3 linked regions of the Kluyveromyces lactis genome follow. The protein of the gene in region 1 interacts with the protein of each later gene in a pairwise test. Links are inferred from orthologs where the notes say so. Each region holds a gene or a part of one and is shown on either strand. Other genes may lie near its edges. The genes, in order: NPR1, SNF1 and MSI1.

Region 1 (7,783 bases):
ATTGGTTTAGAACAGATAACATGTCCGAGGAACAAAAGCTTACAAAAAAGCAACTCAAAGCTCAACAGTTCAAGAAGAGTAAAGATGAGAGAGAGACTGACAAAGAGGATAAGAAGAGGAAAAGAGAAGAAGAGGAGAAGCAGAAGCTAGAGCAAGACCAAACTTCAAAGAAGAAGAGAAAAACTAGAAGAGGAAAAGGTGGCAAGGGCACGAAGAAGGGGAACAGGTTTATTGTGTTTGTGGGGAATATAGGCCGTGAAACAACTGCATCGCAATTACAAGCTCATTTCAAGGCCAGCAGTCCAGACCACATTAGAATGAGACAAGACAAGGGAATTGCATTCCTTGAATTTGACGGAGATAAAGACCACAAGAACATACAAAGAAGAATGGACGTCGCATTACTTCAACATAAGACGATGCTCGGAGACCGCAAGATCAACGTTGAACTAACAGTTGGTGGTGGTGGTAACAGTGCAACACGTCTTGAGAAGCTAAGAACTAAGAACGATAAACTGGACATTGAGCGTAATCAACGTATGGCTAAACTAATCAGCGACAGCAGAGGCAACAAGAAGACGGACCAGGACTCTGAATCAAATGGCGCAGAGAAGAACGAACCCAAGAAACCTTCATCTGTACCTGCAGGAATCCATCCAGACAGAGCAAGATTTATTAAATGAGAAGACTCTCAGGATCTCAACTGAGTCAATGTATAATAGCGTACTCACATGTTATGTGTATATATATATACAGACATGCATATGTTTCCCGTGCAAGAAGCAGAACAGAGAGCGAGTCACGTGAACAACACCGTTATCAATGATGCCCTTTCCAAATCCTGTGTCGCTTAATGCGAATTAATCCAACGAATCCTCGGGGATAGGATATTGCCAATCCAGGTCAATTGCGAACAGTCGCTTAATCCAAGAAGCGAATGAAAAAAAACGACAGTAGACTGGAGTCCTGACGTTCGTTCCAACATAATCACACTTACATATGAATGGAATGCATGTAAACATATACGAACAAGAATAAGAGCCGTAACGACCCATCAGTCCATTCTCTAGTGTAAATCAGAACGGGAGACAGAGAGTTAGTTCCTCACATAAATCGAACTTGCAACAGTAAATTGATACGAAAACCAGATCGATTACGGCAAATCAAGTATATCACGTTTATCAGATAAAGAGTCAACGTTGTCGTCCTTTCTTGCGCAGATTAGTCTTTTATCTTTTGGGAAATACCAAGGGAAAAGGAAATCCGTCCTTAAAGGAAAAAAAAATTTGAATTTATATATTATTAAAACAAAACATAATAGACCGCAAGCATCCAGACAGTAGGTTTTCTCCAATTCTTTCAGATTCCTACCCTTACCTATTCGCTTAGCAGTTGGCTGTAAATAGTTCTACTTCCAACAACACGCTTCATTTCTCCAGTTTAGCACGTTTCTGCTACAGGGTGAGTTTTCGGTACGGAAAAGAAAGACATAGAGTTCCCCTTTAGTGCCACTGCTCAGGATAAATTCGGTATTACAAAACAAAACTGCAGAAGAACTTTCTGAAAGGGATTGATAGACCTGCTTCATATTGTGTTGTATACAAAGGAATAGAATTATAAAGTAGCTACTCGGTGTTTTTACGAGGATATCAGTTTTTTAGAATCGATAATTAGAGTTAATCAGGCTCTGATATCGATATCGACAAAGCAAAATAATTAGAACCAGACCACAACGTTATTGGAACAATGTCATCGTTAACTAAACTGTTACAAGAAAAAAGAAATCAGGAACCTTCGTCAAAGTCCGCTCTAACGAGTTCTTTGAAAGGTTCCTTGGCAGAATCAAGAAACTCCAATTCACAGTCTCATGCTGGACATCCAAACGGAACCGTGGTATCCAGCCCGATGGAAATAAGGGATGGTGCTGGTGGTAGTGATACAACCGTAACACAGGTTGATTCAAATGACGATGGATCTCTGGAAGCGTCATATGAGTTTTCTCAATCTTTTGTCAATGCTAATTCAGCTCATACTGCAACCATGTACGGCTCTTCGGTGCCAAACAGATCTCGCTCGGGCTCCATCCTTATTTCAAGCGGGAAATTCCCACAAGATACCAACGGAAGAGGTGTACCAGGAAGACTTGGTACAAGTATTGGGAGACACACCACTTCGACAAGTGTCATTTCGAACAATTTACCATCGCTTTCATCTAGTATACCATACTCGGCACCAAATTCCAATACAACAAACGACTCAACTGTTAATAGTGCCGAATCCTCTGCATCTTCCTCGTGGCTGGATAAGCATGGGTCGTTGCCCAGTAATATAGCTGCCATCGACTCAAACGTGATCTCTTCGCCAAAAGTTGAATCTGTGGAGCCCAGATTTGTCATTTCAAAACAGAAACTACAACAGAAATCAAATATGAATCATGACACCGGTAAGCCAGTGTCAAGATCGAGTTCGTTATCCTCACAGCTAGGAAGTTTTTTCTTTTCGAAAAACAAGGATAATGAACCGAGTTTAGTAGCCTCTTCGTATGGCGCTGGCGTCTCTCAGACCAATAACTACTACAACAACTCCAACTCCAATAGTAACACGAATTCCAACAATAACAACAACAGCAGTGCAATCCCTTCCTCCTCGACGAGCCATGGTTCATCCATTCCAAAACCCATTAGGGCTAGAGCATCGTCCATTTACAATTCATCAAGACAACCTACTGCCTCATATAATGAGCATGTTTTGGGGTCTCCGCAATCATTGCATGAAAACCTCTCTCAGAATCAATATACTCCAAAATCTCGTCACAGCTCCGTTGCTGATTTGAAGAGATTCTTTAAAAAACACGGTAACTCCTCCGCTTCATACAGTGAGTCTCCACCAATCAGTGCTAACTTTTCAAATGCAAGCGGTGCAAGTGCAGGATTTGCGCCTGGATCATTGGGATCCAATGACGTTGTGTACGCTGCTTCGCATGTACCTGCATTACCATTCAGTAAACGTTACCTTAAAACTGGGGAAAATTTGGGTGCCGGTGCCGGTGGTTCCGTTAGATTAATGAAAAGGATCAGTGATAACCAAGTCTTTGCTGTAAAAGAATTCAGACCAAAGTTTGAACACGAAAGTAAGCGTGATTATGTGAAGAAAATTACTTCTGAATACTGTATTGGTACAACTTTACGTCATCCAAACATCATATCCACTATTGAAATTGTTTACGAAAACAACAGGATCTTCCAAGTCATGGAGTATTGTGATTATGACCTTTTCGCCATCGTCATGAGTAATAAGATGTCGTATGAAGAAATCTGTTGTTGTTTCAAGCAAATCTTGACCGGTGTAGAATATTTACACAGTATTGGTCTGGCGCATCGTGATATGAAGTTGGACAACTGTGTAATAAACAACCAGGGTATAGTGAAGTTGATTGACTTCGGTGCTGCAGAAGTCTTCTCCTACCCCCACTCAAAAACTTTAATCGAGTCAAGTGGCATTGTTGGAAGTGATCCATATTTGGCTCCCGAAGTTTGTATATTTACCAAGTATGACCCAAGACCTGTTGATATATGGTCCGTTGCCATTTTGTTTGCATGTATGGTATTAAAGAAATTCCCATGGAAGATACCTAAGTTAAAGGATAATTCCTTCAAATTCTTCTGTTCGGGAAGAGACTGCGATTCCTTGAGTGCTTTAGTCACAAAAACACCTAAACCGCCAAGTTATGACAATGCCGTCCAATCTGATGAGCCAGCTGAGAGCACATCTAAATCGAACAACCCATCTGATCCAAACAACACGAATATTGGTCCTCAAAGACTACTTCATTCCTTACCGGAAGAGACCCACCACATTATCGGTAGGATGGTAGACTTGGCTCCTGCTTGTAGAGCCAATATTGAAGAAGTATTAAATGACCCTTGGATTCAATCCATTGACATGTGCACCGTTGAAGTAGACAACCAAGGTAACTACGTCGTGCACCCTGGAATGGACCACAAACATACCCAAGTTGATCAAAGCGAAGCCCACATTGCTGGTCTTGAAAAGAAAAAAAAGGCAAAATAAATTAAGAGAGAGAGTAAAACTAGCAATCCGGCTGAGGTATGTTCTACAGCATGTTTTATCAAATAAGAGTAACTCTTCTGAGACGACATAGACTTCTAATTGTTGTGCAATCGTTATAAATTATCTCTCCTGTAAAAGTACACAAATGTATAAAATATTTAAGAACAATTCTTGGCATTCTCATAAAATTAATGCTTTATAACGTTAGCAACCTTTGGCATGAAGTCGGTACACATCGCAGCATATGGTTCTATTTAGCAGACAATGAATTGTGCTTATTAGAAAGTGTATAATGGAAAACAATGTGCGGGTAATAACTTCAAAATTTTCTTTGGCCTAAAAAATTCTTGGAGATATGCCAGATTATAAGCTGGTAAAAATCGATGGCTTAAAGTAAGATGTGCATTCAATCCGATCAATTGCCTCGAACAAAATATCGAAACAGTAAGTCCAGGAAGCGCCAAACAGGACCATGTCGAAGGTTCTTAAGAACGTGATAGTCAAACTTATTGTCGGAGCAGGTCAAGCTGCGCCTTCTCCTCCAGTTGGTCCAGCTTTAGGGTCTAAAGGTATTAAAGCTATTGATTTCTGTAAAGAGTTCAATGCCAGAACAGCAAACTTCCAACCGGGTACTCCGATTCCAGTACTCATCAATATCAAACCAGATAGAACATTTTCGTTTGAAATGAAAAGCCCTCCTACTGGATATCTTTTATTGAAGGCATTAAGTCTTGAGAAGGGACACGGACAACCAAATATCAGTAACCCTGATAATGTATGTGGTGAACTGTCGTTAAAACATATATATGAGATCGCCAAGATCAAGAAGACCGATGGAAGACACGCTGCTCTGGAACTTGAAGGAATCGTAAAGTCTATTATCGGTGTTGCTAAGAGTATGGGTATTAAGGTAGTTCCATAAACTGACTTTTTTTTCACTAATCAAAGCATCGATTTGTGAAATAGTGAAGGTCTCGATGGAGAGTTTCATTCCAACTGGTTTATTAGCATTTGTAGACCTCATTTCGTGTACATAAAATAGAATAATGAAAAGATAAAATTATAATAATATATCAACTACTATAGATGAAGATGTATATGATGATCCAAATGAACTGAAACCGAAGTGAAAAAAGATGAACTGAAGTCAGTGTGAGGTAGATGCATGTATGACTGTTTACAAAGAAAGAATGAACAAGGATGCAAGTGTATTGTAAGCCGGTAGTTTAAGGAAAGGGTTATTCAAACTTATGGGGAAATCCTTCTCTTCTTGTTTTTTTTCTTATTCTTACGTTTAGAGTTGTTCTGCGATGATGAGTGTGAAGATGGAGGTCTTTGCAATTGCGGAATACCTAGATCAGTAGATTTATTGGAAGATTGAGAGGAAAGTGGGACCGATTTTGGTGTAAGTCTAGTGTACACTAAGAAGTACGCGTTTGGCTCTTTCAAAAGCTGTTTTTCTGAAATTTTATTGATGTATTCGTCGTCATATGTGGCCCAACTTCCATCTGGTTGCTTACAATGTGCGATATAATGACCGCTAGATAAAGATCGCCCTTCATGCACAACGACACTAATTAGTTGGTATCTTACGGGTAAGGAGCTGATTGATTCATGGCAGTATTCCGTTAGATCTAAAAACATTGGATAAGATACGGCCTGCTTCATTTTGGATGAAGATGTGCCATTAAATCTGAACTTTTTTAAATGAACCACTAGAGTCTCTGGAGCACGAATAATCTTGTTTGACTTTAGCGCGTTAGTAACTTTCTTACATTTCTCACATGTATACCCTTCTTTGTTGTCCACTCTTTTGATTAACTCAGGATTGAAGAAATCCCGAATAGATTTTTCAATTGAAAACCTTCTCTTTGAAGATTGCTGTTGATCAACAGAGTTATCAATTGAATTATCTTGACCAACAGAGTTTTGATCTTGATCAGTTGTCTTTCTACCCTTTAAATGCAATGAAAGATCGTATATAGGTTGTTCAGTGGTTGAAATCTCACCACAGTTACTGCATTTAACTGATTGTTGTAGTAATCCACCGAATACATCGTAAATGATGGATTCTGTCATTTTATGGCCCTTAGGAACCGAGTCCTCTTGTAAACGTGACATTAAAGACATAAAATATTCGTGAGAGTCCTCTTGGTTCCAAGCGCTCATCATACAGTTAATGTCTTCCAACGCATTGATTAATTTATCAGGATTAATGTACGTATTTTTAGTTGAGTCAGAAGACCACATTCTCATCGTAGTTTCCGCTAATAACATGGAAACACAGTTAGACTTAACGGTGTCCTTGAAATTTCCACGTAGTAATTGAAATAAATAGTGTTGAATTGCTGGAATATGAACCATGGCTTGCACAGCAGCGTTTGTGTAACATGTGACACCATGGTTGAGTAAACCCCTTGGTTTCAGCTGGGTCAACTTAGAGCCCCAATTCTTAACTATCCTCTGTGGTTTATTAGAACCATGGTCATTAATCGACTCGTTAAATTGGTAGAAGCTTGACTTGTCCTGAAGAGTGGTAGGAGGGGTAGGTGATAGAGGTTGTGGAGATTTGTGCTTCAATTCTTCATCCTCTTCCTCTTCTTCGCCATTTTCCTCTTCTTCAGGTTTGCTCTCAGAAGCAGCCGCAGTTGAAGATGAAGACACTCCTTTGAACTGACAAGAAGAAGCAGCAGCATGTTCAGTAGCCTCCAATTTGAGTTCTTCCTTTTCCTCTGCAGAAACATCCTCGTCATTCTCGTCATCCTCGTCTTCTGCTGATGCAGAAGAAGCGTGGAATGAACTGTCATCACTATCTTCATCTTCATCGACATTTCCAGGCTGCTCAGCAGGAGCAGCTAATGCCAGCGATGGTTGAACGAATTCATTAGCCTCATGAAACACTTCATCCTCATCCTCATCCTCATCGTCGTCATCAGACGACGAGACAGGAGCAGAAGTTGCAGCAGATGATGAAGAAGCGGAAGAAGACCCAGAACCCGACATTTCGTTTGAATCTGGGGTCACTTTGTTTTCCAACAACGACACGATTGGATGCTCCTCATCTTCAGTCGAGGATCCATGATAGTCATCATCACTGAGTAAAAGCTCATTGCTCAAACCGATAGATAATTTCCCCGATGGAGTCACATGAGAAGCGGTAATTGGTAATTGCGAACTTCTGTTTGGCTTAGATTCCGCAGCGTTTGCCGCACTTTTCTTAGTGGTATACATCTTCAACGCCTCTGCAAATGATGAGGGCTTGACCACCTTCTCCTTACGGGACGCAGTTGCAGTAGCAGCTATACCCTGATGATGTCCATGCTCTAACTGATGCTCATCGCCTTCTTTGGCTTCCTGCTGCTGTTTCTGGGTGCTCGATGAGATCATAATATACGAAGAGCCTTCACCACCGACGTTATATGAGTCCTCTTGAACAGCTTTCTTGAATTCCAACGGTTGCGAAACGATACGATCCACTAGTGGTTTTACAGAATCAGTCATTACCTTAGTTCTTCCTGATAGAAAACTGCACCCTAGCCCTTTTCTGTCCGCAAGCTTTTCGAACTCTTCTGAAATAACCTGCTGTTTAGTAAAACCTTTTCTAGTATAATATTTTATTTCTCTTTATTATTTTTTTTTTCTTTGATCTGGCCTTAGAGAGGGAGGTTTTGACAGCGAAAATTCGATAAAAAAAATGGATCCAAAGAAAAAA
Region 2 (7,570 bases), on another chromosome or scaffold:
TGGATCAAAAGTCCTCGTCCGTTTCATTCAGGATCCTACCTTCCAGGGGTAGTAATATTAAGCAGATTTGCCATCCTAATATAACTTTCGCTAGTGGCAGTTGACATGAGTCGGAAAGTCTTGATGTACTCTGTTTATGGAGCAAATTACGTAGAATGTAGTTTACAGTATATCCAAAAAAGTATATAATATTTCATGTTACCTTTAACGGAGACGGTTCTATCATGCAAATATGTTCAAAGTACAGTATGAGAATGAAACAGGTATGAGGGAGAACTCAACTGATATCACCATGAGAAATACCTAATTGCACGATAGTGTAAACGTTCAACAAGGATATGAAAATCCATACCAAAAATGCAATGATGGTAGTGATCCAGTTGTTGGACATGTCAATATATTCATCAGGTTGCTCTTCCTCGCCGATAACCGTTGGAGCGTTCAGTTTATCTTTGTTGTTCACTTTGACTTTCATGATAGACTTTTTACAAGTGAAGAAGATCAAGGGAGCGACCAAGAATGGCAATAGAATGGATAAAACAACTTGGGAGGCATTTAAAGCCTTGGAAAGGGCACTCCTACCTATGGTTAAGGAGATAATCAAACATGGAATAATAGAGATACCTCTTGTTATCAATCTTCTCTTCCACGGTTTGAAGTTCCAATCCAAATGACCTTCGCATACAATTTGGCCTGCGATGGTGCACACAATACCGGCAGATTGACCACTAAATAACAAGGCCAACATGAAAACAGTACCAGCAATTGGAGCCAAATTCTTAGAAAGTAGAGAGTGAATGGTGTACAAGTCGGCATCCACAGCCTCCTCGGAGCCGTACAAAGTGGCACCTGCAACGATCAAAATAGCACTGTTAACAAATAATGCAAAGGTGAACAAAGTGATGGCCAATTCAAAAATGGAATATTTCATGGCATACTTGATAGCACTATTTGTGGGTTGATAATTGAAGTATCTTCTTTCCCTGATGACTTCGATATCTTCCTTTTCCTTTACAGCAGAGTGAGTATCTTCGGTTTCTTCAATGACATTGTCTTCATCTTCTTCTGCCAACAAATCGTAGTAACCATGGTCAACGTCATACTCTAATAATCTTGGTTGAACTAAACCAGAACCCAAGAAGAGTGAATGAGGCATGACAGTGGCACCGAGAATGGAGGTAGCGGTGTACATACCGTTATGTTCAAACATTTGTTTAGAAGGAACAAAACCTCTGAAAATATGTCCCACTGGAGTTTTTGGAATGTAAGCCAACTCAACACAGAAGCAGATAACAACACCAAAGACAAGTAGGGCAACAGCGTACTCGAACATTCTGACGAATCTCATGGATGAAGAACCTGGCTTGTAAGCGATCAAAACGAATAAGACATCGATACAGGTAATAACCACACCCGCTGGTAATGGGATTCTTAGCAAGATATTCAATGCAACTGCAGTACCAATAACTTCAGCAACATCTGTTGCAATGATAGCACATTCTGCAAACACATAAATGGTCAAATTCAACCATTTGGGCAGGTGCTTCTTGCAAGCCCTTGAAAGATCTAATCCCGTCACAGAACCTAGTTTGATACATAGAGATTGTAAGAAGATAGCAATAATATTGGAAACCAACACAATACAAAGTAAAGAGAACTCGTTAGAAGCACCAGCACTAACGTCAGTAGCGTAATTACCTGGATCCATATAGGCAACAGAGACCATCAAACCCGGTCCAACAAATCTCATGTATTTTCTCAACACGTCTTGTACGGAGCCAAAAAACCCTCTCTTCTTATCTTCGGCGGAAGACAATGACAGTGAGTATTGACTCTGAACTGGGTCAGTTGAAGAAGATCCTTTTTTCTCCGTATCCCTCATCCTCATGGCCCTTCTGCATTTCAATATCAACTTTTGACGAACAGAGAGTTTGGAGGCACCACCGGGCATGGACAGCTCAAGCATACTTTGAGGATCCAAGTACTCCTCGGTCACTTCAAACTTATTTTCCGGCATGATATTCTTTCAATTGAGACAACTGAATCTTATTCCCAAATCTTGGCACTATTCTCAATCGACCCGTTGATTTCGTTTGAACTTCCCTACAACGATGAAACCTCCTTCGATATATCCAAACACTGATAAGCAGCTTGTTATACTGGCACTGGAAACTCCCGTTGTAGGATTGAAAACAATAAAAATGACCTGATGAATAGTCCTTATACCTTAACGTTACATTTGCCCTATTTCATCAAAGGTATGCATATATATACCTCGCACGAAAAAAGTTCCCTAGAAAAATGCTCGTTTCATCGGACTACGGTTGAACACACTTAGTTGGTTATTATCGATATTTCGGGTTATTCCTGTCACATGAAATCGATTCTAGATCTTCAGTATCAGGTGGGTCAATATACACTACTATATATAGTACTAAGAAATATGGCTCATCTGAAGATCTGGCCCGGTTGAGCTGATTGTCATTTGTCAGACCTGATGCCTCCTCATATAATAACTCAGGTCAGTTAACGATACTTCAATTAATACGTACCGTATAGCTACTTAACCGCCAATTGCATCGGTAGTTACCCGATCATAGTTTATGTTCCGTCTCAACATTTAGGCAACACAATCTTCCTCCTCAACATCCAAGTTGGTTCCTTGGCCCAGTTGGTTAAGGCACCGTGCTAATAACGCGGGGATCAGCGGTTCGATCCCGCTAGGAACCATTTTTTTGCCCACTAGTATAGCAAATATTACTATTATGATAGACCCGACTATACTTAACAGTATAATAGTCTCATGTTGTGATGTGCCGTGGATGATAGCTGATTGATTGCTCACCTCTTGTGGAATCGTAGAGACCAAACAAGTACTGAATTTGATATAAGAATATACATAGTTAGATCCTTGAGCATATGCGTCTTGCTCCTTCTTGTTGCATCCAACCTCTCAAAAGGTTGCAACTTAACTCAGCCCTAATACTCAACTCATACTCAGTTGTCCGTCGGACTTTTTCATGGTAACTGATAGTCTCATGAGCCACTCGTCATGCGCAGCTTCTGCCTATTCCAATTTCACTAAATATTGTCACGTGACCCTCTTTGATCCATCTAGGCCTTCCCTTCTGGATACCACAGGATCCATATGCCCAGTCACTGACGTCTTGGAACTCTGCCGTGTGCTGGCTAGCTCACATGACCCTTCGTCTGGCCTGTCTTCAGTCTATCTTACGAAAACTACAACAAAGTAGCATCGGTGGTTTAGTGGTAAAATCCAACGTTGCCATCGTTGGGCCCCGGGTTCGATTCCCGGCCGATGCATTCTTTTTTCATGTGTCAAAAACATGTATGTTGTTTTCCTCTTCTTCCCGGCGAGTGTTGTGAGCTAAGAGTAATTTCTCATATAATATAGTGATTGTCATTATTTAATGATATGTATATAAGGCTTAAACTTTAAGCAAATATTCAAACTTATATACACTCTTCGTTGGATATTATCCGTTAGTATTTTTTTAATTTCATGAACCTTAAAATCAACTTCCTTGGCTATTCACTGCAAGTTCCATAATCAGCCTGGTTGCTAAATGTAGAAAGGGGTATGCACTGAACGTACTCATTTCATCGTCGTTCCGACTTGAATACACTACACCGTTACTGGACTCCCAGCCATCAAATTTGAAATCCACTAAGTAGTTATTTGTCTCAATTTGGAACAATTGGATTACCATCTTCATTAAATCTGGAATCTGCTTGTTCTTCATTTCGTCATCAGGCATATCGATATTATATCTCCAACGGACTCTAATAGTCCATAGGTCCTCTTCTGATGGTTTCGCCCATTCGGCTCCCAAGTTTTTCAATGCAATGTATATTTCTCCCATAACGTCTAATGGATAGGATCTTGATCGTATACCGAAATGCCACCTTGTTTTTGATTTTTTCACGCTTAATGGTGAAATCTTAGCAGCAGCCTGGGACCCTTGTGCTACCATGTTGGCTCTATGGATCTGTGGTAACGAGCTAGGTAAAATTGCAATCGTGCTGTCTCCATCCTGAGAACCATTTCCATAATGATATTGATATGTACGTTGCTGTGTTCTCTTTGAATGGCGGTGTGAGTGTCGATTTTTTGAGCCCGGGGGGGCATGCAAGGATTGTTCGAAAGTGGGTGGAGATTGCGATAAGAAAGTATCCAAGTCATTAGATTGTTGCTTGTTCACCTTGATGTCGTTGATTAAATTTCTGTTCTCTTTAATTAACTGATAGGCATCCCTGATTTCATTTAAAGATGGATGATCTTCATCGGACTCTAAAGCCTCATATATCTCATCTACGTCATAACCCATAGTGTTTGATAGCGTTTGAACTAACGAATCATCGATCAGTTCGAGTGGCACGGATGGGCCGCCATCTTCTGTTTTGCTTTCAGAGTTTTCTTGATGGGTGCTTTCAGCAGGAACTAGGTAGTCGGGTAAATCAACTTTGAACCATTCATCCTGCATGATTTCATGCACGGTAATTCTATTAACTGGATTGACGATGAGCATCTTTTTGATTAAGCTCGCAGCACCTTGGGAAAGGAAGTTAGGTATGGTGTAAACACCATTGCTAATGTTCTTAAACAACACTGGGATACTTTCGTCATCGAATGGTAACCTACGACACAACATGACGTATAAGATAACCCCTGAAGACCAAACGTCAACCTCTGGACCTGCATATAGTTTACCGCTGATGACTTCTGGGGCCGCATAATTTGGAGAACCACATGAAGTCTTCAAAAAGTTACCATCTGTCATTATATTAGATAAACCAAAATCAGCAATCTTAACGTTCAAATGTTCGTCTAATAGTAAATTCTCTGGTTTCAAATCTCTATGCACAATTTTATGACGGTGACAATAATCTACTGCGCTAATAATCTGTTGGAAAAATCTTCTTGCTTCTTGTTCAGGCATCTTGTCTCTTTGGACAATATAATCAAATAATTCATTACCAGCATACTCAATCACCATGATAATTTCGTCCTTCGATTTGATCACGTCATACAATTTGATAATGTGTGGATGTCTCAACAAACGTAAGTACGAAATCTCTCTCTCGATTCTACCTTGCATATCACTCTTGGCTAGAACCTTCTTATTGATGATTTTTAATGCCACTTTTTGTCCCGTAGAGATATGGTACGCCAGTTTCACTTTACCAAATGATCCTTCACCCAAGGTCTTGATGATTTGATACTTACCGATATGTTGGCCTTGTGCGTGGTTAGTCAGCTGGCGTTGGTGATGGCCTTGACCTGAGCCACCATGCGGCTGTTGTTGATTTGGGTCGTGCGACATATCTTCTCTGATGAGTATGTACTCGTAAATGCTTCACTAAGAGTTTGCGTTCAACAGAGGGATATCTTGTTTACTCTGAGAATAGTTGCTTCTAATTGAGAAGTTGACTAACTTGTTAGAAAACTTGCAATTCTTATACTAGTGTGACGTTTCTGGAGTCTCACAAAACCCAATTCTATCCGCCCTACAATTACGCATTGATCCTTCTTTTATTGTTGATGTTCCGTATATGACAAGTTTTCAATTTTATCATCAAAATGTAAACGGCGTAGAAATCGTTGATGATGACTGATACCTTATGTAGGAGACCGTACTGGGACGAGTCCGGCGAATTGACCATTTTCAGTCACCAATCCTGTCACGTTTTACGAGAGGATTCAGACAATTCACGAATCCATTCTTCACTACGTCAATATGCTATGACACTACATTAAAGTACATCACCACTCGATAAGTGGCTATTATATACGAACCAAGATGTATATATTACATCTTTAATCTTCCCCAATTACTCTTTTATAATTAGGAATAACGTTAATATCGTATTTTCCTCATTATAAACTGGTGATTCCAAAATTCTGCTATCTATGTATTAGTTTCAATCACTACTGTCACTGGAGTAAATATCGATGACTGCGGCAGGATCGTAGAATGATTGTTGGCTAAAATTTGAATGCTCCATATCGTCCTCGTCATCCGTCCAAGAGTCCGTTGCAATATGTTCAGTCACAGGCATCTTTGAGCCCAAATTGAAACACATCAAGCGATTCCTTACTATCATTGTGCTTTTTAAATTGGAACTAGCAAGAGAAAATCTATCATCTAAAACACGCTTACTGATTGAGAAGCTCCTTTCGACGTCAGCAGTTGAGAGCTTAGTGTGGTAAAAGGCAAGAGCCAGACTGCACAATGCAGGAAATCTTGATTGGTTTTCAAGCCAATAGCTCAAAAAATCCTTCTCTTTCTCCAATGGTTCCCCCAAGTATATCTGCCACTCATCCTTAGGCGCAAAATGGAATTCTGAAATGTTTCTATCCAGATATGCAGATAGGTTTTTTAATAATTTTGGCTTCTTAACACGATTGATATTCAATGGTTCAGTTGGTTTATTGTGCGAGCGAATATCGGAAGTTTCAGTAAATCGTTTGCAGTAACTGACAACATAACTTGTTGCTGATTCAATGACATCCTCTTTGAACGATTGCTCAAAGGACCTGTTCAATAGGTCAGTCTTACGGTGAGGTTGTGAGATATGTGCCACCCAATATCCTGGTTCTTTGAACGCAAAGTCCATGTATTTTTCAAATTTGGGGTACGAGGCCATGACCGCAGAGAAAACTTGTTCCTTTATAGTATTTGATGGTAAATGAGTTTTCTTAATCCCAACATTGGCTACATGCAAAATATCATCCGAACCGTTTTTTAACTCTTCGCAAGACTTGTAATATTGGCGGATAGTCATGTAATATTTAATTCCATTGCATAATGAATTTGTGGTATCATCTTGAAGGAGCATGGTAACTTCTTGAAAAATGCGTGCTATCCTCACAAAGAAAAGAATATACTCCAATTCCTCCTCTTGATAACAAAATACAGAGCAGTCATCTGGAATTAGCTGGAATTCAGGTTTGAAACGGTTATCAAAGAAAAACTCTTTAGCACCTTTAGAGACTTTAAGGAAAACTTCAAGTTGACGGTAACGAGAAAGGAACCTTGTGATATTGTGTTTGGGAATCGTGCAAGGAATATAAGAGCGGATCTTATTTCTGATGTAAACGTTACTCTTTGTATAAGATGCTAGTTTATCAATCCTCGATAGCAGCGACTCGTGACCTTTTTCAAAGGCATTTAACAAATCCAAGAATACCCTATTCAATACATGATTCATACATCTAATCCTAGAAATACTCCTTACACCGTTCAGGTCAAATCCTAAGTCAAGGGCCTTGTCGATGCCATCAAGCATGGATATATTGTTCGAACCATTGTCCAAAGTAATGCTGCTGACTTTGTGACTAATAGAATATTCAGAAAGACAAGATAACAAGGCATTTTTTAGATTTTCACTAGTATGACGCTTGCAACTCAAGTCGATGAAATCTAAGATATGAATGCTGGTCTTACCGCCGTTTGTAACATCCTCTCTTTTCAACCGAGACATTTGATTCAAGTTGGGACAAAAGGACGCCATAACTGCCACATATCTTTTTGATTTGAGGACGTCC
Region 3 (6,927 bases), on another chromosome or scaffold:
TTGATGGATCACCGCTACAGTCGATCCTCCCATCCAAAGCTAAAGACCAATCGAACTCTGCTACTTTGGTAGGACACAGCGGACCAGTTTATTCCGTTGCATTCAGCCCGGATAACAGGTACTTACTTAGCGCATCTGAAGATAAAACTGTCAGACTTTGGTCTTTAGATACGTTCACTTGCCTAGTGTGTTACAAAGGCCATAACCATCCAGTATGGTACGTCAAGTTTTCTCCACTTGGCCATTATTTCATCACCGCTTCACATGATCAAACGGCTAGACTATGGTCTTGTGATCATATCTATCCGTTGAGAATTTTCTCAGGTCATCTAAATGACGTGGATTGTAGCACTTTCCATCCAAATGGTTGCTATGTTTTCACTGGTTCCAGCGACAAAACGTGCCGTATGTGGGATATTCAAACAGGTGATTCTGTTAGACTGTTTTTGGGACATACATCACCAGTCACCGCACTTGAAGTATCGCCTGACGGTAGGTGGTTAACTACGGGCAGTGAGGATGGCACAATTATCGTATGGGATATTGGTACTGGTAAAAGAATCAAACAGATGAAGGGTCACGGTAAGAATCCTATCTATTCCATAACTTTTAACAAAGAAGGTAACTGTCTAGTAACAGGTGGTGCGGATCAAAGTGTTAGAGTTTGGGATATAAAGAGGTTTACAAACGAGCCTGGAATGGAGCCGGAACAACAATTCAACACGTATTCAGGAGATATGGAACTCAGTGTAAATAACGATATCAAAGAATTCGGACGTAGGCGGGCAGTAATACCAACTCAGGATTTGATGGCTTCGTTCCATACAAAGAAAACAGCAATTCACAAAGTAAAATTCACAAGAACGAACCTAGTTTTGGCTGGTGGTGCATTTATTGAGTAAATGCGATTACTTTACTCAGCCAGATAAGGGTCGTTTATTCGACATATCTAGTAGTTGTCCAATTGTAATAAATAAAAAAAAAGAGAATGCGCTTTATCTTTATATTATTTACAATGAGTACGTATATTTTATGTGCATTGATATCAATGCAGTCAATGAAATGTAAATGTTAACAGAATCCTAATAACTAATCTAATATTGGTTTTTCAGCGTCCCACTGCTGTAAAATCGGATGTCCTTTATAATAGTAGCTTTCCCAGTGGATATAGTAATGAGGGATTCCAAATAATAGTAACAAAGATGATATTCCCAAAGGTATCGTGATCCCGACACCCATTAACTTCGTTATAAAATAGTAGACTGTACCATGTGTCGCAATAACACATAGTATATGCAGGAATTTCAACTTATTCTTTATGAAATACTTTTCCATCGTCGGCAGTAGAATGTTAATTTGGATACATATCAAAAGGAAACAGAAAACTTGGGTGGAGGTATCTAATCTTGAAGAAAGTACGGTCACATTTGAGAGTAGAATATTGGTCGGTAGGATTTTAGATTCAAGAGCGGAGATCGATATGATGTAAAAGGTTGTGAACCATGCAGATAGAGTCCAGATGGAATCGGACGAAGTTGTCTTGGACAAAGATTTAAGCACTGGAGATAAGGTCAACATTGCAAATATAATGATGATAGTGGATTTCCAGGGTACCCTCTTGTTGGCAACTATTAAGGAAACAGATGAAATTGAGGCAGCAATTAAAATCGGATTGTATTTGTAATGATAGAACCAGGCAAATATAATATAGAGTAACATAGTATTAATAATCATGTGGTAAAACTGGAAGAGATCAAGTAAAACAGACCTGTACGAGGAGTGAGGCCTCAAATGCCCATGTTCAATTTTCAACTTCTCCCATTGTTTGTAGAAACTTGGATCAGTGTAGGTATCTGGGAACGGCTGTTTCAACCACAATAACCGTTTCCATTGTTTCCCCGCAGCCATTAACAACTATAAGAGAAGACAATTTGTTATTCGGGAAACGACTAGCACAATATAGTCACTACAGTCTGGACAAAAGAAACCTGGAGATTTGCCGCTATACTCGCGATAAATCTCTGCGAGTGCAGGAAGTTACTTCAGTTCAACAGTCGTCGCTAGCTTTTTCGAATCATTAAAATTAGAGATTGATACGTAAAAAAGCTAATCCATTACAACTTAATATCACAGCACAGCCAGCGGGAGCACCCGCACAAGTAAGATACAAAGGATATAGCCTAACTTACTGCTCAACTCATTGCTACATATACCCAATGGATCAATCTAGCAGGGAGACATCAAATTCGTTTGATCAGGTAACCAGGCAATCTTCAAACAATGAACGAAGACCTACGGATTCTAAAGCCATACCGAGAACTTTACCCAAGGATACCGTTCCAGACGACGTACATGCTACACCAAAAGTGGATGACAAGGATAGGATATGGACAGATATAGATACACTAGATGATGTGAAAAGAATGGCCAGAGAGGGCAATACTGGCCTTACTTTCCCGGATAATTTCGAAGAGGATATTACCCGCTTACGCCAGATGCATGCGAACTTGATGCAGCACATGAAGAGACAATCAACAGAGACCCCAGGAAATCTTGAAGAACAACAGAAACACATCAATGATATCGTAGATACCATTGAGAGATATAACTGAATAAATACTTCAAATCACGTGATGAATCACGTGCCACAATTACCCTGACTTTTTGTTGAGTATTAGTGGAAGCTAAGGTTTCCAAGGACCACCGGTTTCTTCTACGTGCCTTTCACTATTTGTTTACTGGATGGTGCGAAACAAATAAAAAAAGCGGAAGCTGACAGAAATTACAAGTTGTTCCGAATAACGATGGGATATACGAATTGATGATTGAACGTAGTATGGAAAATAATAGGAACGTTGAGAAAAAAAAGGATTTGGTATTTTCCATCACCTGCGAATTTGAGGGAAATGGTTAACTTAAATCGTGGATTCTTTATATATATATATTCTCTGGTGAAGGTTCTTGATCAATTGCTTCTTCCAATTGGTATTTCGATTGTATTCTTGAGTCACGTAGAAAGGAATTTGTGATTAGGGTTTAATCGCTGAATTCTGAAGTGACCTTTTAACTGACCGTAAAGTACAATAAAAGGTTTTAAAGTTCTGTTAAGATAGATTCTAAAACAGAAATAAAAAGACAAATATCAGAAATGGCTTCTAAGAACACTTACTCTGACTTCAAGTTGGCAACTGAATTGCCAGCCTGGAACCAATTGCAATCTTTGTACGAACAAAAGGGTAAAAAGCTAAATGTTAAGGACGAGTTTGCTAAGGACAATTCTCGTTATGAAAAGTTTGCCAAGACGTTTGTCAATTACGATGGTTCAAAGATCTTGTTTGATTTTTCCAAGAACTTAGTTGACGATGAAATCTTGAAGTCTTTGATCCAATTGGCTAAGGAAGCTAAGGTCACCTCATTGAGAGATGCCATGTTCAACGGTGAACCAATCAACTTCACTGAAGGACGTGCTGTGTACCACGTTGCCTTGAGAAACAGAAGTTTGAAGCCAATGTACGTTGATGGTACCAACGTCACTCCAGAGGTTGACGCTGTGTTGCAACACATGAAGGAGTTCACCGAAGAAGTCAGATCTGGTGCTTGGAAGGGTTACACCGGTAAGTCTATTACCGATGTTGTCAACATTGGTATCGGTGGTTCAGATTTGGGTCCAGTTATGGTGACTGAAGCATTGAAACATTATGCTACCAACTTGAAGGTACACTTTGTTTCTAACATTGACGGTACTCATATTGCTGAAACTTTGAAGGATTTGGACCATGAAACCACTTTGTTCTTGATCGCATCCAAGACTTTCACCACTGCTGAGACTATCACTAACGCAACTAGTGCTAAGAACTGGTTCTTATCTAAGAACGGTGGTGACCAATCCCATATCTCCAAGCATTTTGCTGCTTTGTCCACTAACGCTACTGAAGTTGAAAAGTTCGGTATCGACACAAAGAACATGTTCGGTTTTGAAAACTGGGTCGGTGGTCGTTACTCTGTTTGGTCCGCTATTGGTTTGTCAGTTGCTCTATACATCGGTTTCGACAACTTTGAAGCATTCTTGAAGGGTGCTGAGGCAGTAGACAAGCATTTCGTTGAAACTCCATTGGAAGACAACATTCCATTGTTGGGTGGTCTATTATCTGTTTGGTACAACAACTTCTTCGATGCTCAAACACATTTGGTTGCGCCATTCGATCAATACTTGCACAGATTCCCAGCTTATTTGCAACAATTGTCTATGGAATCCAACGGTAAGTCCGTCACCAGAGGTAATGTTTTTGCAAACTACTCTACTGGTTCTATCTTGTTCGGTGAACCAGCTACCAATGCTCAACATTCTTTCTTCCAATTGATTCACCAAGGTACCAAATTGATTCCATCTGATTTCATCTTGGCAGCCCAATCTCATAACCCAATTGAAAACAACCTACATCAAAAAATGCTAGCATCTAACTTCTTCGCTCAAGCTGAGGCATTGATGGTCGGTAAAGATGAAGAACAGGTCAAATCAGAAGGTGCCACTGGTGGTCTAGTACCTCACAAGGTCTTCTCTGGTAACAGACCAACCACTTCCATCTTGGCTCAAAAGATTACTCCAGCTACCCTTGGTGCTTTGATTGCTTACTACGAACACGTTACATTCACCGAAGGTGCTATCTGGAACATCAACTCATTTGACCAATGGGGTGTTGAATTAGGTAAGGTTTTGGCTAAGGTTATTGGTAGTGAATTGGCCACTGATAACAAGATTTCTTCTCACGACAGTTCCACCAACGGTTTGATCAACCAATTTAAAGAATGGATCTAATGTGAGAATGCGATGCAATTTCCTTTTCACCTAAGATATGCAGTGAACTTAGAATTCCACATCTTTACGTACAACCAAACTAAATAAACTTCTTTATCAAAACGCTATGTGCAATGAATGACTTATATACGACAATGTCACGAATATCAACTACATTGGAAGTAATTGTTTTCACTTAATCAATCTCTTTTTTCATATTTACATTAAGGAAAATGAAAAATGATACACGTCCAAAAGATTCAACAACGCGTGATGTAGTGCGAGAGTACAGACATCGAGATTGTGACAAGATATAACAATACCAAGCTAGCTCATAGCATATAGAGGACGCAACAATGAGTGAGTTGATTATAGAAGAACCTCCAGAACTGGGCTCTGGAATTTCTAATGAAGTACAGCAAAGGTATACCAATTGGAAGAAGAATACAAAGTTGCTCTACGACTATTTGAATACAAACACATCGAAATGGCCATCTCTATCCTGCCAATTCTTCCCAGACCGTACTCTTACGAATGACAAACAAAGGATATTATTATCTTCATTCACATCGCAGCAACTTCCGCAGGATGAGTCAATTTACATCGGGTCCATATCTACCATGAATCATATGAAATGGAGTTCCATCAATAACTTCGACATGGATGAAATGGAATTTAAACTGGATAATTCATTGAAACTGAACGACAAGACATTAGAAGAAGAGGTACGAATAACGTACCCTGACGGTGATTGCAACAGATGTCGGTACATGCCTCAGAACCCCGATATAATTGGGACTGCATCATCAAATGGATCAGTGTACATATTTGATAGAACGAAACATGGTAATAAGATTTCCACAGGCAGGAAATTCGAAATCGAATGCAGAAATAACGGTGACGATGAACAGGACGAGAGTTTATCCCTTGCATGGAATTACCAATTGGAGGGTACCTTAGCTACATGTCAAAGTAACGGGAAAGTAAAAGTATGGGATCTTACTAAATTTGATAAGTCGAAACAGAGAATGGAAATACCTGAAAGAGAGAGTGTGATGGACGCGAATGGAGTCAATGATGTGTCATGGATGGTAAACCACACTTCCATTTTAGCATCATGCGGAGAATCCAACGTCATTGGACTGATAGACATAAGACAAGATACGAAAATGGACACATTACACCGTACTACACATACAGATGGAATCAATGCCATCGAGTTTAACTATAAGAACGATATGATATTGTGTACCGGTGATTCTCAGGGCCAGTTAAAGATCTGGGACATAAGAGATTTCAAGGAGCCAATAAAGGAATGGGAACATGGAGATCAGGATCCCATCTCTGCCATTCAATGGAACCCTCAGATACCGCAAATACTGGCCACTGCAGATCAACAGAGTGGATTAGTGAAGATATGGGATGCATCAGGTGAACAAGAGGACTCTAACGCTGAAAACAACATGCTATTATTTGTCCATGGTGGTCACATGCTCGGAGTCAACGACATTTCATGGTCACAACATGATCCATGGACCATGTGCAGTGTATCGAACGACAATTCAATTCATATCTGGAAGCCAGCAGCAAACTTAGTAGAACAATTGTAGATTAAACTGGAACATGTCGTCGATATATACATGTATCGGTATTGTTTATTCGCATATAATAAATGTGTCGCACGACACAAGAAACACGTTACTCTTCCTTGAATTCCTTTCACGTGACCTATAACCAATCATAGCACTGAACATGGACCAAATCACCGGGTACGAGATGCCACTCTTTACAACTCTCTACAACTCTCTACAACTCTTCTATGCAAACAGGTATACAAAGGATATGCCAATCTACCATGTTTCAACTCTATACTAGTTGCACAAGATACGCCATCAGCAACTGTTGTATGTTTTATAGTTGTATACTACTTTATGCCAATACTTTCCACTACGTATAGCCCATTTTTTATTTTCCAGCAGCCAGGCCAATTCGAGGGAAAACAAAATTTTCTCTTTCAACTTTTGGCGAAACTTTTAGGATTTGGAAATACCTACACTTTTCACACATCGAAATCCAATTAACTGACCTTTAATTAGTTAGAAGTTATAGACATACGTTTGTGTTATTCTTGA

What was found.
Region 2: the proteins of NPR1 (region 1) and SNF1 interact in binary tests that used the Saccharomyces cerevisiae proteins (3 or more experiments, as listed by UniProt). The link is inferred for Kluyveromyces lactis from reciprocal best matches to the Saccharomyces cerevisiae genes NPR1 and SNF1.
Region 3: the proteins of NPR1 (region 1) and MSI1 interact in a two-hybrid assay, tested with the Saccharomyces cerevisiae proteins (2 studies listed by BioGRID). The link is inferred for Kluyveromyces lactis from reciprocal best matches to the Saccharomyces cerevisiae genes NPR1 and MSI1.

The regions. Positions count from the first base shown.
Region 1 is NC_006040.1:712,727-720,509, forward strand, and holds NPR1 (serine/threonine protein kinase NPR1), read left to right. Parts: upstream 1-1,746; coding exon 1,747-4,071; downstream 4,072-7,783. Other genes in the region: NOP6 (Nop6p), read left to right, coding at 21-683; MRPL19 (mitochondrial 54S ribosomal protein uL11m), read left to right, coding at 4,544-4,993; ubiquitin-specific protease UBP10, read right to left, coding at 5,320-7,572. UniProt on the Saccharomyces cerevisiae protein: Nutrient-regulated protein kinase that promotes the activity of at least 6 distinct transport systems for nitrogenous nutrients under conditions of nitrogen catabolite derepression.
Region 2 is NC_006037.1:335,271-342,840, forward strand, and holds SNF1 (AMP-activated serine/threonine-protein kinase catalytic subunit SNF1), read right to left. Parts: upstream 5,346-7,570; coding exon 3,537-5,345; downstream 1-3,536. Other genes in the region: SNX3 (Snx3p), read left to right, coding at 1-52; divalent metal ion transporter SMF1, read right to left, coding at 278-2,017. UniProt on the Saccharomyces cerevisiae protein: Serine/threonine protein kinase essential for release from glucose repression.
Region 3 is NC_006041.1:2,090,095-2,097,021, forward strand, and holds MSI1 (Msi1p), read left to right. Parts: upstream 1-5,151; coding exon 5,152-6,405; downstream 6,406-6,927. Other genes in the region: TAF5 (chromatin modification protein), read left to right, coding at 1-902; GPI2 (phosphatidylinositol N-acetylglucosaminyltransferase), read right to left, coding at 1,090-1,908; KLLA0_E23497g (DUF5315 domain-containing protein), read left to right, coding at 2,217-2,612; PGI1 (glucose-6-phosphate isomerase), read left to right, coding at 3,149-4,816. UniProt on the Saccharomyces cerevisiae protein: Acts as a component of the histone chaperone complex chromatin assembly factor 1 (CAF-1), which assembles histone octamers onto DNA during replication and repair.